2 linked regions of the Arabidopsis thaliana genome follow. The protein of the gene in region 2 interacts with the protein of the main gene of each other region in a pairwise test. Each region holds a gene or a part of one and is shown on either strand. Other genes may lie near its edges.

Region 1 (7,658 bases), on a different chromosome or scaffold from region 2:
GCTGAGAGTCATAAACTGGAGTTGAAATAAAAAGCGATGAACTGTGGCCCTCTTTGGCTGGGTTGAGGAAAGTTTGATTCTCAATGTAGCTTACGATGCTTAAACGGATGACATGAGATTCTCCCATCCCACGGAGCAGTTGTAGCAGTAATGCGATGAAAGATCAAGCTCAATGGAGATTATTTAGGTGTTTAGGGAGAGTATGTGTGGGATGAGCGAAGTTGTGTAAGAATAGGGAGGGAATACGCATAAGGATAACTCTGAGAGAATACTCTTGTAGTAGTTGATGTAACTTTTGTCAAAGATTATTGGTCTTTTAGTTTTGTTCTTATACTTAGCGCCTCCGGAGAGAGCGAGAATATTTTAAAAATACTTGACAGCACTGTATTATATACTGTAGTAATTTTGTTACTATTTTAAATTTGTACTCGGCCTTTGGTCTTGATCATTAGTGTTAACAATGTGAGTTATCAGAAAGCAACAACTATGAAAGTAGAGACTGTGGTAACGAAGGATCGTAAATAAAATATGAAAGATTATCAAGACTCAAAATCTTTACCGAAAAAAACATTCCTATGACAACAAAGAAAGTTTCTGTAGAGCTTTTGATCTATAACAACAAATCACTGTTTGATGCATATTTTGGTTAACATGAGTAAAACATAGATAACTCAAGTTGTGTCAGTTTGAAAACGCTGAGGGCAAACATGTTACAACCTATATGAGGTTATATGGTGTGATCAATCTCTTTAGGCTGTATAAAGGAGTCCCAAAGCCATCATTGCCAGCAAGGAAAGGCTGAGATTAGCAGCAATGGCAACGGTGCCTGAACGAGGAGGAGTTTGTGGCGGACCACCTTCAGTTCCATTGGAGGCCAACTTTGCAACTGGAGGCAGAGGCGGATCAATCACGTCTTTGGCATCAAGAGGTGGGTTTGGGGGAATAGCTGGTAGTTGTGCTTCCTTGTCTGCCACGGTGAGTAGAGCTCCAGCATCTGCAGGTAAGATGGCATAGGGCTGGTCTTTGTTCAAATCTGAACATGGACTCCCTGCATTTGCATCAAATATAATTGATCAGCCTTATCTTGGTAATGTTTTTGTTTTTTGTTTTTTTGTAGAAGTTTAAACTTACTTAGGTATCTGGTAGCGGTGGCAGGGAACTCCGTGATGACTCCATCAACGCCTCTCCCTGCAATGAATGTTGCAAGCTCTATCGTAGGATCAGAGAAGTAGTCGAACGCTATGGCGATGTACTCATTTCTTAGCACCGAGACGTATACAGAGATATTCGCTTTGTGCATTTCCTCTACCACATTAGTTTTCCCCGTGGCAAAGCTTTGGGAGACGGTGATGAGGGAAGTTCTCAAGAGATTGACAGCATCTGCATGCTTCTTGATTTCTTCGATGGATGTCTTAGGAGCATCTCCGATCTCCTTGTCGATACTCAAGACTCTTGTGTAAGGAGGGACAGCCTCGAAACTAGATAGAACTGAACTGTCATCCGACTGAATCAAAACCTTCTGGGTTGATTGCTTGTCGAGTGTGGAATTTGTAAGAGCAGACTTGACTACGTCTACGACTCCTAAGCCTTTCTTCGAGGCTAAATAAGCAGCATTCTGTCAACAAAAACAGTGTTAGTGGAGCTTCCTTGTGTTAGTCAAGGAGCATTTGGAAGTTAAATGGCTTGCCTGAATGTTGATTAAAACTCCGGTGACTGCCTTTGCTTTGCCGAGCTCAAGGAAGTCCGCAAGAGTCGTGAACTTCCCGGCGTTCTTGTTTGCGGGGTTTCTCTGGAAGCCCGTGGCAGTGAAGGGGTTTTCTATTTGTGCTGAAGACAAAGATATCCCAATGCTCAGTGACTTAGTTGAGAATAAGATTAGTTTAAGAAATCTATAGAAAAGAAATCAGTTTCTTACGCTTCACAGACTGGATCTCGGCCCATGTAAGATCAAAAGAGAAGATTCCGTTGGTAGGCTGGATCTCAGGAACGCTGGTGGCTCGGGACATGAAAGTAGTCCTGGCGGTGGTACTTGCTGAGAGGTCTGCAGCATCATGGCAGAAAGCGATTCCGTCTTTGGACATCTGAACAGAGCAGTCAATTATGTCTGCTCCATCGTCGATTGCTTTCTGGTAAGCCAGATCAGTGCAGCCTGGATAGTCTCCGCTTGCTCCATTGTGAGTTATAACCAATGCATGCCCTGCTTTGGGGAGATTGCCGTTTTGGTGAGAAAAGCAAGCTGCAAGAAAACAGACGCTTTAGCTTCTTCTTAATAATCAGCTATCTGAGGAAACATATATAGCAAGTCATCTCACTGATTGATTGTGATGCTGTTGGCGGGAAATCGGTGATGACACCATCAACAGAGAACTGGCCATTGTCCACAAACTGGAGATACTCAGCAGAGGGATCATAGCTGTAGTTAAAGCTGGTGCGCAAGTCGTTGGCAAACCCTGAAGCATAGACCTCTAGACCGGCTTTGTGAGCATCAGCCACAAAAGTGGTGGCGGGCTTAAGGTACTTAGCTGAGTCAATGGGCCAAATGTAGTCTTTGGGCACAAGAACGCCTGAAGCAAAGGCCTTGATGGCTGCGAGGTTCTGCTGAATCTCGCTGTACTTCTTGTTGGTGGTGGGCTCAACTGCCTCGGGGTCTTTGAACTCAAATATGAGCTTTGTCTTGGCCCTGCCCGCGTCCATCCCGATGCTCTTCAAGAAACCAATCTCTGGAGATGAGATGACATTAATGCCGCGGAATCGCAAGCTTCTCAGGTACTCGGCTGGGCTCAGCTTGTGTTCCATGTAGAAGGCATCGTACTGCACATTTGCATTGTTTGTTGTTTTGATGAATCAACAAAAAAGCTCCATATGTTGGTTAATCATGTTCTCAAAGAGAAGAAAACATACCTGAACGCTCAACCAGAACTTGGGAGGCTTGGTTCCAAGGACATCCTCCACTGCAGAAACCGACATTTGGCCGTCGAAGATGCTAGGCCGAGAGAAGATGTTCTGGACCACTGCTCAATAATACAAAACATGAAAATGTGTGGTGGTGGTGGTGAGCATTGAAGGGAGGAAATGAAAGAGAAGAAGACATACGAGTGACTTTGTTGAATATGGTGTCGGCATCGTAATCAATGACAAACCAGCCCTTGAGGTCCTGACCGTTGACCTTGTAGGTCTTCTGGGCTTTGGGGAAGACCGAGGAGATGGTGGTTGCATTGTCAAGTCTGATATCTGACAAGCAAAGGCCCACACCGTCCTTAGTCATCTGAAGGTTGCACAACATTGTGAAGCCAGGCGAGCTGGTGCCAATAGCCAAGTCGTTTGCAGAGATGCTTGACTCAGGGAAAAGACCCGAGAAGCCCCCTCTGGCCACAACGGCAGGCTCTTGTCCTGGAAGACAAAAGACAGGTACGGATTCTTAGAAACAAACAAACAACATGGTATCTTAAGTCTTAACATTAAACAACAACAAAAAAAAAAACATGGTAGTATGCAATATGGGCATACTCTGTAAAAGGATGCTTACCGTTAAGGGTAAGCCATTTCTTGGCAGGAACAGCTGCGGCAGCAGCAGGAGTCTTGGGTGCCGCAACAGAAGAGTGTAAGAAAAGGGAGAAAAGAATGAAAAACCTCAGCATCTCTATCTGATTGATCCTGCATTTGTGTGTAACGTACGTACCCCAATGGAAAAGCAAAGTCAGGATACATGTAACAAAAACAGAATTGTCACATTTAAGAAAATTGTGAAAGAGAGATCTTACAGCGAGAAAAGAACATGAATCCCCTCTCCTGCTTGTTTTCCTCGTTTAGTTAGAGGAAAGGAAAAAGAAGAGAAAGAGGAGATGGGTCAAACAAGGTTAATTAATGGTAAAAAAAAGTAACTTGCTCTCATATCCTCCATTTATGGCCATTTACTCCTTTCTATTTTTATCTCTTCTTCTCCACCATTCCCTTCTTAACCGCTTTTTCTTTTTTTGATGCTTTCTTACATCTTCTTTGCACAAATGGGTGTAACACCCCTCAGTTTTGGACTTTGTACTATATTCATTTGTCATACATGTATGTAGTTAAAATGACAATATTAGAGTTTGGCATTCGGACCAAACCAAGTTGTCCGATCTAAACCAAACCAATATTCCGTTAATAAGAAAACTCGATTGGCAAAAATTAAAATATTCTTTGGTTTCAGTTTTTGCCTAGACTTAAAATTCTTAAAAATCCAATTCTATGTGATGGAAAAATCTTTGATTCCGGTCCAATTCTGCATCAATATATGCTAAACCGAACCGAGACTGCCCACATAAAATTGAATTGAACCAAAGGTTTTTAATTTTTACTTCAACATAGCGAATAAGAAAAAGAGGGTATATATTCATTATTCAATGTTAATGAGAAGGCGTCTGCGTTTGGTTCGACACCTCAAAACTTGTTTTGCCTTTAGCATCTCCGAGTAAGGAATCCAGGTCCAAAGCCTCTTCTCTTCCTCCTCCTCGCTTCCTTCTCACGCAACCTTGGATCCACCGCAGCTATGAAGATCACCGCCTTGCTCGTTCTCAAGTGCGCTCCCGAAGCTTCTGATCCCGTCATCCTCTCCAACGCTTCGGACGTCTCTCACTTCGGTTATTTCCAGCGATCTAGCGTCAAGGAGTTCGTCGTCTTTGTCGGTCGCACTGTCGCTAGCCGAACCCCTCCTTCCCAACGCCAGTCTGTTCAACACGAAGGTTCTTCTCCTTCTTCTTCTACCTCTCTAGATCGATTGTTTTCAAATCTTCTTTCTCCCGGATCTAATGCAATCTCCTTTCCTCTTTGATTTTTATTCGATTTCTAAATTCGGATCGGCTTTTCGATTTTGAAACTTTTATGATTTAGGATGTGCACCGTTTCTGATTCTAGATCTTCCTGGACTATGCCCCGGCTTTAATTTCTTGCGATTCTATCTTATTGTTCTAGTCCTCGAATTTGGGATAATTAGGGTTCGTGTTTTTATTTTGTTTTTGGTTTAGAGTACAAGGTTCACGCTTACAATAGAAATGGCCTTTGCGCGGTGGGTTTCATGGACGATCATTACCCTGTTCGAAGTGCTTTCTCTCTTCTCAATCAGGTAATATCATTATGTTGAAAGTGGTTCTCAATGCATCATTCGTAAGTTTTCCTGTAATTTGGGTTGCTTGACATTTAATTTTGTCTCAGGTCCTAGATGAGTACCAGAAGAGTTTTGGTGAGTCATGGAGGTCTGCAAAAGAAGACTCCAATCAGCCTTGGCCATACTTAACCGAAGCTTTAAACAAATTTCAGGTTCTTCACTTGTGCAACTGTATTCGCTCTTTTACTGTGAATTTTGTTAAAACTGTAGTTATATTAAGCTCAGTTAGGTGGACATTAGAATCCAATCGAATGATTCATTCTTCATGAATTAATTTTAGTAGCCCCCATTGTTTTATGACCATGTTGGATTTTGAGTGATTTGATCTTAAATTGATTTTGGGATTGTCCCGTATTTGTAATCTTCAGGACCCAGCAGAGGCTGATAAGCTGTTGAAAATCCAGAGGGAGTTGGATGAGACAAAGATTATCCTTGTAAGTGCTGTCTCCGGTCCTTTCTTGTAGACCCTTATACATAAGCGGTACTTCCTTTTCTAAGTTTCAGTATACTTGCCAATTATACATAAATGCTGTTCTGTCGGTGAGTTTACTTTCTTCTGAAAAACACCAAAACAAGAAGAAAGTCTTGGTAGTTATGATGGATGTCCCTGTCTCCGTAAGACTGATTTTTTGTTCTGTATTGTAGCATAAAACCATTGATAGTGTTCTAGCCCGTGGTGAGAAGCTGGACAGCCTAGTGGAGAAGAGCTCAGATTTGAGCATGGCATCACAGGTAACATTCTAAAGTCACATTCTAGAAATTCTTATAGATTTAGTTTCCTTTTTTCCCTGTCTCGATCTCTGAGCATAGTTGGTGAACACGTTAGAAAGGGTTGTTGATTTAGCAGGCTTATAAGTGTTGTTGATTGATAGAGGAACTATTGCATGTTATTGTTGGGGTAGATAAATAGAGGAAGAATGTGGATTTAGAATACCTTCTTTGAAAAAGCTTTCTGCTTCAGCCTGCAGACATTTGAGTGCAGTTTGAACTATACAGTTGGATTTTGGAATTATTAGGTTTGCTACGAAGAATCATAGTGTTTTTTGCTATATCATCTGACCATGGGGAGGAACATATGTATTAGTCATATCCTCTGGAATCTCAAGATATTCTTCGTTATTTAGATTAGGTAAACCATGTTTACTTCCAACATGAAAATCTGATTTGGTTGTATTGGTTGGAACAGATGTTTTACAAGCAAGCGAAGAAAACAAATTCATGCTGTACTATTCTGTGAGCTGGAAGTCCTGCTGGGTATATAGTCAACCAAACTTTTGCTGGGGGGAGACTGTTTTTTCTATCGTCTTATCTATACATATAATTCCGTCTGTAGTTTGCATGCATTATTTTGATTCCATAAGTCTCGAGTCGTGTGGTGTGTTTATCCAAATACATAATGTCAACTTCTGCAAGATTTGAATTGTCTTTCCCAGATTTGATCTGATTGAATTTGTGTGCGCTTCCTTATGGTAAAAGAGACGACTTTGCATAACTAGATGAAGATGTCGTAAATAGACAAAAGCAGATGATGGAAGATAACTAGAGTAGACAAAGGGGGTAGTATATTACACAGACAAAAGGATCAAAGAGGTGAAACAAAGTCTTTGTGTGCCGTGTAATCTATTTGCCGAAGAGAGATTTGAACCACCAAACGCCCTTGGAGTCTTCAGGGGCAGTGTTGGACTCAGGTGGTGTGTCACTCTGAGGAGTCTTGTGAAGCTTGCTGATGTCATAACCTTCCTCCACTGCCTTCTCCACCAGCTGCTTATACGTCTCTTCCTCCATTTGCGCCGTCCTGCTCAATATCTACACCACCCACATATACAGAGTCAATCATTTTTGGGATCAATTTCGATTATTCGTTAAAGAGAAAAAAAAAAGAGTACCAACCCAGAGATAACTCCTGGAAGGCTGGCCAATGAGAGCGTGCTGGTAGTCAGGATCGATGTAGAGCACCCAGTAGTCTCCGGTGACGGGAATGATTGGGAGGAAAGGAGGGACATAGAACTTGACTTTGAGCTTGGCTTCGTCGCTTTTAGGATCGGCCTTATAGGCGCTGCCTTCGATAAAACCCCTCTTCCCGTTGCTCCACGTTTCGTTCAAGACGTGTATGGTACCGTCGGGGTTAAGGGTGTAGGTGGCGCGAGTGTCGACGCCGTTCTTTGGCTGAAACCTTGATGGGAAAGAAGCAATCTCGTACCAACGGCCCATGTATCTCTCCACGTTGAGCCCTTTCACCACTTCCATCTCTTTCTTCTCTGTCATTTCTCTTCTTTTTCTTTTCTTCTTCTCTAAGATTTCGATGTTTTCTTTGAGGTAAAAGGATAAGAAGAGATTCTGTTCTTTATAAGGAAATAAAAAAATAATATCAAGGAGATTTCGCTGGGACGAGAGGATGCCACGTGGAAAGCGTGTAGGGCAAGGGTTCTAGTAGCGTCTAGCAGTTACAAATGTGAATAAAGGTGGAGGACACAAATGTCTTCCTTGTTCTGTGGGAAGAAGGATACAATACAAT
Region 2 (7,928 bases):
TACATTCAAAAAAAAAAAAAAAAATGGTTATTTTTGTGTAACACTTCCTCTCTCTATATACAATGTTGTCTTTTGGATTAATTCCCCACACCATATAAGGTTTCTCGTGGGTTGTCTAATTCGGTTGAGTTTGGTTGATCAGACTGCACCCGTTTCTCATTCTATCTTATGGCGATATATACGATTATGGTCATATGACGTAATTTGGATATTATAAATAGATGCATGATGTGACATATATTGCTGATGCTAGTACGATTATCAAGTATGAATTACAAATATTCTAGCTAATATAACTTATCAATAGTTGTATTGATATGGTTATTAATATTGTTAAAATTTCAACTAAATGAAAAATAAAAAGACGTAGGTTAGATTAATTATGTTTTATTGGTGAGAAACAAATACGTGCTTAGTGAAATGGACGTTGACTTTTGTCGGCAATATTCATATTTCAACCATTTTTCTCCCAACAAGACAATGAGAGTTTCTAGAGGTTGTGAGTGGCCAAGTTATTTGCCGTTAAATCAACCATCCGACAAAGCTCCGGATACAAACTCTTCCTAATGGTTGCATACACCTCACCATTCCATTTCTTAGCGGCCAAACTTTCTCCAAGGCTCACTGTAGCCTCCACCACACCTTCCGCACTATCATGCGCCGCTGAGTCCACGATCCCGAGAGCCACCGCTTCTTCTCCTTTGAGCTTCTTCCCGCTCAGTAACAGCTCCCTTCTCGCGATACCTGACCCAACCTTAGCCACGACCAACGCCGAGAAGTAGTCCGGCACCGGTAGCCCGATGTCCACCTCGCTCATATATAGAACCCCACGGTCTTTCCTCATGAAAACGTAGTCGTGGCTCAGCGCAAACATCAGCCCCGAGGCTGCCGCGTGGCCGTTCAAGGCGGCGATCGTCGGCATTGGAAGATCGAGGAGGGCGGCTAACACCGGTTTAAAGGATTTGACCATTTGGTGCATCCGTTTTATAGCACCGTGTCCAGCGGATTGAGCCCACGCGAGGTCAAAGCCATTGGAGAAGAACTTTCCGTGACCGGTAGTGATGAGGACGGATCCTTTTGTGGATTGAGACTTTGCTTGTTCAAGAAGCGAGAGAACAGAGGCGATCGTGTCGGGGTGGAATCTGTGCTCGTCTTCGCCGGTTAGGGTTAGGAGAAAGAGATCGCCGCGCTTCTCTAACGTACACATGGTGCGTACGTTAAGGACTTACTGATTTAGGATGGTACAAGAATAAGGAAAGAGTTAGTAGAAAACTGTGATATAGAAGTGAGTGTTGAGTAATTAATAGAAGGGAACCCAACTGTATATTTATTAGACGTGCTTTGCCACCGAAGTCTTTAAATTGGGTAATCTTCCCAACCATTTTGGTGTCAATGTTATTAAATGCAGACGAGACAAATGTGTATGAATGAATGTGTGACTTTCTTGCTGAAAATGATAATTGTAACTGTTTGTCCTTGGACGTAATTACCATTTTGTTCTTTCGCAGCTATTGGCTAAATCAATTTTGGTTTCCTTGTCTCCACTTGATTAATATTAACAACCTTTTTTTAGTGCTTACACACTTACAACTGTTCGTATGATTTTTTAGATATCTTGTCATGGCTTTTGAATCTATGAACTTTATTTTTGAAGCATGATTGATTGAGATCTCTGCTTTAGCATTACTCATGGACACATTCCATAAGAGACCGACATGAGTAGTTAAATTAGTTCACTAACTCTTTAAGTTGTGCAAACAACATTAGTTAGGTTAATATTAGTCCGCCAACTCTTTAATTTATTAAATACACAAGCTACATAGAAAAGAACAGTGTCTTTAGATCCATACTTGACCAGCCGGTCTAACCGATAAAACTGTTAACTAGACATATAACAATCATTATTTTACAAGATCCTATAATTCAAATACATATTCAAATATTTATTTAATATGCAAAGATTTTTATTTTATACCGAATAAATACTAAGATTTATCTTGTTTATTGACTTTTATTTTTAAAAAATTTTATACCGTATTTATGTCCGATCAGAGCCGTCCATGAACGCAATAGGACCAAATTTATGCTTGCGGCCTCAATTACTACAAATAAAATATTGACCTAATTTTTTTATAACTTTCAGTAAAAACGTTGATTATTTGATTCTTAGATACCTATGGTCGTCAAAAGTTTGAGTCCATCTACCTTCATTTACCTTGTTATTTTTTCATTTTCACTCATTAAAATAGGTCTAAATTTTGTTCTTTGCTTGCAATCTATTAAATACTAGAGACGGCTCTGTGTTCGATTAATGACACCACGATGGGACTTATAATACAAATCAGTATACTCATATATTACAAGATCATGTTAACTTTCTTACTATTTATATTTTGGTTAGCAACATGCAATATGCGGGTTTGAATAAGGCCATAAGGGTGATGACACACTGACAACACTAACACAAACCATTGGATTACATTTTTTTGTTCGTGTAGAAGTTAATCAGGCGGCTAGTTGACTTGACTTGGCCTGAAAAATGCAAAAACCTCACATATTTAAGCACATCGTGACATGGTCCGATTTTTGCTTTCTTTTGTTTTGTGGCTTAGATTGTAAAGCTCTGTCCGCACTAGACTCAACTTACATATTCATATTCATATTCACCTCTGGTCCATATATATTATAAAAGTCCAATAGAACATGTTCACGAGAATCTGTATAGGTAAACCTCATCCACCATTTAACATTTCATGAACATGTTTGACTTCCATTAACAAGATCGATGTCTTTGTAATTTAATATTAAAAAGAACTTTAACATAAAAACAAGCATGGAAAATTCAAAAAGAATTGGTCAAAGAGTATTGCCAAAACAAAAATGTAAAGAAACGGGAAAAGGGAAGATAAAGCAGCTAATTTTCTTTCTCCAACTCTGACCAATGACCATATCCAAGCGTGTATGTAATGTACCTAGTCAACATGTTACAAGTCGTGGCCCTCCTCACCTTATTATATATGTCATCTACATAAACATCAGACATCACACACCAACATCATTATTATGTTCTTTGATACAAAAGTACTCAATTATCCTACAATTCACAAATCTATCTCCATGGCGTCCACGATGCAAAGAACAAGCAGCTCCGCGGCCAGTAACGAGAGGCAACTTAGCCAGCTACAGAGACGAGCTCCGTCTTTAATGATCAAACCAACGTCTTTTAGTAACTGGAACGTGGCGATCCCTCTCCTTTCACCGCTCGCTCCTTCTCTAACATCATCCTTCGACCAATCACATGTTCCTCCGCCGCAGAACAAGACTGAGATACCAGTGGAAGAAGAGGTGAAGAAGACACCAGTTTTCAAGAAATGGCAACATCCCGCGTCGCCGTTCTGCTACGAGCCAACAACGTTTGTCCCACCGTTCATCCAGGTTTAGAACGGTTCATCAAAATTTTGTAGATTTGATGACTCAGCTACCAGCCCCGTGTGAATTTTGTTCCTGTGATATTACACGCGGTTAACTATTTTTCACGTTTTTGTATCAGTTTTATCCTCTAAGAGATAATATTATTCACTAACAAAGTATTAATTCAAGTTCTAAATGGGTAAAAAAAAATGCATAAAACACATGAAACAAAATTATGGGAAAAACATGGAGAAAATAGTTGCATGAATTCTTTAAATAAATTGTCAAATTAACCCATCATACATCTAGGGTTGGACTTTTCTTTAAAGTTCATTTCTTCAAAGTGTTCACTTTTAACAAATAAAAAAACTAACTTCATGGATTCAATATGGGCCGAACTAAAGCCCAGTAAGCCCAATTCAATTTAATTCTATTTTCTTCTTCTTCTTCTAGGGACTTGTAGTACAGTAAGAACTTTCGTACGTTTCTCGCAAACAAAACACGAAAACTTACGCTTCTGGAATTGAATCCAAATCGAGAATTTCCTTTACAATGCTCTAAATTCGTCTGTTATGTTGAATCCTTCGTAAGAGAGTAGAATCGAAGACGAATCAAATGAACTTTCGAAGGTTTGATCTATTGATCTCTTCCTCTGCATTCGAATCCTGTTTTTATGTAGATTCATCAATGTTTAACAAATGATATTGATTCTGCTCTCGATCGAATTTGATCTAGATCTCTTCACAATCTCCAGATTCACTCTTTCTGAAATCTTAGTTTTTTGAATCACCGACATTCGAATTCCTGATTCTGAGTCATTGACCTAATTCTAGAGTTCTAATTACAGTTTTCCAGATTTTGAATTGAGTGTATCCAACTAGAATTGGAGAAAATTGGATCTGATTAAGAACCAATGGTTTTGATTTCTGTAGGGAGAATCGTGCTTCGAGAACGTCTCTCTTTGATGGCCTTGATGGACTTGAAGAAGGTCGCTTGAGAGCTTCTTCTTCGTATGCTCATGACGAACGTGATAATGATGAAGCTTTGGAAAATCTTCAGGACAGAGTTTCGTTTCTCAAGAGAGTATGTTTCTTTCATCTATATAACTAAAGAATCAAAATATCAACACAAGCATAAACATTAGGATTAAGAATTGTGATTCTTTATTGTGAAATGGATGGTGCTACTGATCCTTATTGTTTGAGAAAGAACAGTCCCTTAAGCACTGCTAAGTCGAGACCCTAAATGTATCTTTCGAGCATCGAACGATGATCTAATGCTTTCGAAAAGTCTAGATATAAAGAAATTGAACTTAGTTTTTAGTTCCTAGATATGTATTGAAATTGTAGATTAAGAACATTCTCTCCAGCATTGCTATCACTAGACCCTGTATAAGTCTTTCGGACTCAACGACAAGGATCGAGCTATGATGTAATGCCTTAGAAAAGTCTAGTTATGAAAACAATGCCTTTTTTGTTTTCACTCTTGTCAAATCTAGTTTGCAATAACGCTTGCCTGAGATGTAAGTTGGTAATAATATCTTATCAGGTGACTGGAGACATACATGAAGAAGTTGAGAATCATAACCGCTTGCTTGACAAAGTGGTAAGCTGAAAGTTTGATTTCATCTGTTTCAGTTTGTAGATCTCTATCACATGCTTTTCTTCTAAGCTATTTGTTGTTGTATCTCTAGGGGAACAAAATGGACTCCGCGAGGGGGATAATGTCGGGAACGATCAACCGCTTCAAGTTGGTATGTAAATAAGATTTCGTACCTTTTATATATGCATCACCCCTTTTGTTTTTCGCTATCAAAACTTATATCTGAATAAAACTCGATTTTAACACGACAGGTCTTTGAGAAGAAGTCTAATCGAAAAAGTTGCAAACTCATAGCTTATTTTGTGCTCCTGTTCTTGATCATGTATTACCTTATTAGGTAAAATACACTTCTTCTTATAGTTATCAAAACACTTGACTTTTCTTAGGGACTGGTTCAAGTCCTTGTTCTTTGACTCGAACACTGACAATCTTTCGGATTTTGCAGGCTATTAAACTACATCAAAGGGTAAATTTGGATACAAGAAGAAAGTAGAGTGTTAAATGAATAGTTTCGTTTGGGACTTCCATTTTTGGATTTCTCCTGATGAATGAATGATTCAGACATAGTAAACAAGTCAAGGGACCCTATTGAAACCCTATTGAAACCCTATTGAAACAAGACAAAGAAAGAGATTGTGAAGAGACTAGTGAACCAACCGAAAGAAAAAATGTTTGATAGAGACTTGTTTGTCACAAGCAAAATCATCTCATGTCATTTCATGTAATGTAGCAAAAGCTTCTTTATCATTTGTCAACTATTTGATCTTGGGTTCATGTTAGCAGTTTTGTCTACAAAAAGCTTAATTGATTGATTGATAAGCTTAATTATTAGCTTTCTGTGAAAAAAAGTTTAGCACTTTGTAATAAAAACAAGATAACTTGGCGTCTTGTTTCCAAAAATTTCCAATTTTCAGAATTTTAAGGCGCAAATACCGTCCTGTATATTGACATTTTGCTAAAGATCCAAATACGTAACAACATGAGAAATATCATTTTTGAACGACTCGCAACAATTCCACAAGTTGACAGGACACTACTATGCAGAAGAGTTTGATTTTTTTTCCACTTTAGGTAACAAGTTGACAATAATCGACAAGTTCATTTTTGGTTTGGTAATAGACAACAAGTTGACATGTACATTTCCAAATGGTTCGGTTTCTAGGTCAAATCATCTTAACAATTATGTAAACTATAGTCTTAAATGTTGAATTTACGAGTGAATAACAGGTTGCTATGCTAAATAGTAAATTTCTTGAAACTACTGTTTAGATAAATAGTCAAATAACCATGAGTTTTAATATAGCTACTAGAGGATAACATTTGAGTTCTGGCACAATATATAGAAAAAAAGTAAAAAAAAAAAAATGTTACCTTATTAAATCGGGAGTAGTTTTTCAATTTCTTCTGATCTTTTAGTATATGCTAAAATACCATGTTAGTAAATATGAATGTGATTTTTGTAAAATAAATATATTATAACACAACAACAGATGTTATGCTACATATATTAAACAGGGTGCTAGATTATAAACAAAAGTGTTTTGGATTCACATGAAAAATATGTGTAATTATTTGAAGAAGTTAGATATATAGATCATTCAAAAAATAGTAAGCTACATGGTTATCTAATATACTGTTGGTAGTGAATCCATCAACCTAATCGTGACATATATACAATGTACAATCGAAATCGTTTCTAAGAAAGCCGACGAAATACTCAGCCTTTAGAAAGACTAGTATACGACATGTCCTACCACCCTAATTACTAAGAGAAAAAGATTCATGATGCTGCGGGAAATGACTTGCTTTCTTCAATTAACTCTTCATTCGAGCTTTGGTTGCTCTAGCTCACAAATTATCGTCGTAGTTAATTGAATATTTACAAGGAGCTGACTAAAAAATTAAATGTACATGCACATACATTGGAGCACGCCCACCATGGCTATGCTAAGCATGCTCTCTTAGCAGAAGTGACACCTCTCAGAAGCTATTGGGCCATAACAGAGTTATGACACGGGTCATATCCGTCAAAAGCACATTGCTTCTAGAATGCGAGGTATGATTGCTAAAAACACGATCGACAAGGAACTCAAGAACATCAACTTGCATATTGAACCTACATACATGCCGTATATAGGCATGTGCGAGGAGTATTAAGGATATAGGACTGGTTAACTTCGGTTATCACTGGTTTGGTTGAATGTGGTTTACTAACCACAATAATCTTATGTATATAAGTTTAATCTCGATTACTTTGTTAGTTAAGTTGGTTGTAACAACACTTTAAGCTGAATAAGAAAAGTTGTTATCTTCTTCTTCGTCTCTCTTCTCCGATCTTGAATCTCCGATGTATCGGATTTTATCATGGTATCAGAGCACAATATATTGATTCCGCGTTTGTTGTGTTCATCGGGAGAGAGTTTCATTTTCGATTTCTTCTTTTGATTCTTTCGTTCGCTTATGCCATTCGTTATTTTTCCGATTCACCGGAGTATTTTTCATTCTGTTTCTTTTACTTCCTTCAATTGACCTTTAGCGTGAGCGAATCTCGTTTTCTATACATCAAATTCGTCTCGCTTTCTTTGTAATTTTTCATTCTTACTCTGAGAATGGGATCTTATGTACCTCCACCTGCGAATCCGGTGACTCGTCCTCCGATCAACAATGGTGATCAAATTCGATATCCAGTAGATCAATATGAGAATCCGTACTATCTTCATAGTGCAGATCACGCTGGATTGATTCTTGTGTCAGATCGACTTACGACAGCTTCAGATTTTCATTCATGGCGTCGATCGATCTTGATGGCTTTGAATGTCAGAAACAAATTGGGATTTATAAACGGTACGATTACTAAACCACCTGAGGATCATAGAGATTTTGGTGCTTGGTCTAGGTGTAATGATATTGTTAGT

Evidence for each region. Proteins that work in one complex are often made in the same cells at the same time.
Region 1: the proteins of ATBET12 (region 2) and SVL4 interact in a protein complementation assay, tested with the Arabidopsis thaliana proteins (one large-scale study listed by BioGRID).

Annotation. Positions count from the first base shown.
Region 1 is NC_003076.8:23,493,749-23,501,406, forward strand, and holds SVL4 (SHV3-like 4), read right to left. Parts: upstream 3,854-7,658; 5' UTR 3,762-3,853; intron 3,655-3,761; 5' UTR 3,639-3,654; coding exon 3,527-3,638; intron 3,391-3,526; coding exon 3,094-3,390; intron 3,012-3,093; coding exon 2,902-3,011; intron 2,812-2,901; coding exon 2,313-2,811; intron 2,237-2,312; coding exon 1,916-2,236; intron 1,828-1,915; coding exon 1,688-1,827; intron 1,616-1,687; coding exon 1,132-1,615; intron 1,049-1,131; coding exon 750-1,048; 3' UTR 501-749; downstream 1-500. Other genes in the region: FIP1[V] (FIP1[V]-like protein), read left to right, coding at 196-252; YKT61 (SNARE-like superfamily protein), read left to right, coding at 4,529-4,721, 4,870-4,943, 5,012-5,101, 5,191-5,295, 5,512-5,577, 5,789-5,875, 6,330-6,380; TIL (temperature-induced lipocalin), read right to left, coding at 6,764-6,949, 7,034-7,408.
Region 2 is NC_003075.7:8,306,456-8,314,383, forward strand, and holds ATBET12 (Target SNARE coiled-coil domain protein), read left to right. Parts: upstream 1-3,863; 5' UTR 3,864-4,026; coding exon 4,027-4,040; intron 4,041-4,343; coding exon 4,344-4,494; intron 4,495-4,959; coding exon 4,960-5,016; intron 5,017-5,104; coding exon 5,105-5,164; intron 5,165-5,264; coding exon 5,265-5,350; intron 5,351-5,458; coding exon 5,459-5,483; 3' UTR 5,484-5,929; downstream 5,930-7,928. Other genes in the region: HCD1 (3-hydroxyacyl-CoA dehydratase 1), read right to left, coding at 491-1,207; AT4G14450 (uncharacterized protein), read left to right, coding at 3,064-3,441. UniProt on the Arabidopsis thaliana protein: Required for vesicular transport from the ER to the Golgi complex. Functions as a SNARE associated with ER-derived vesicles.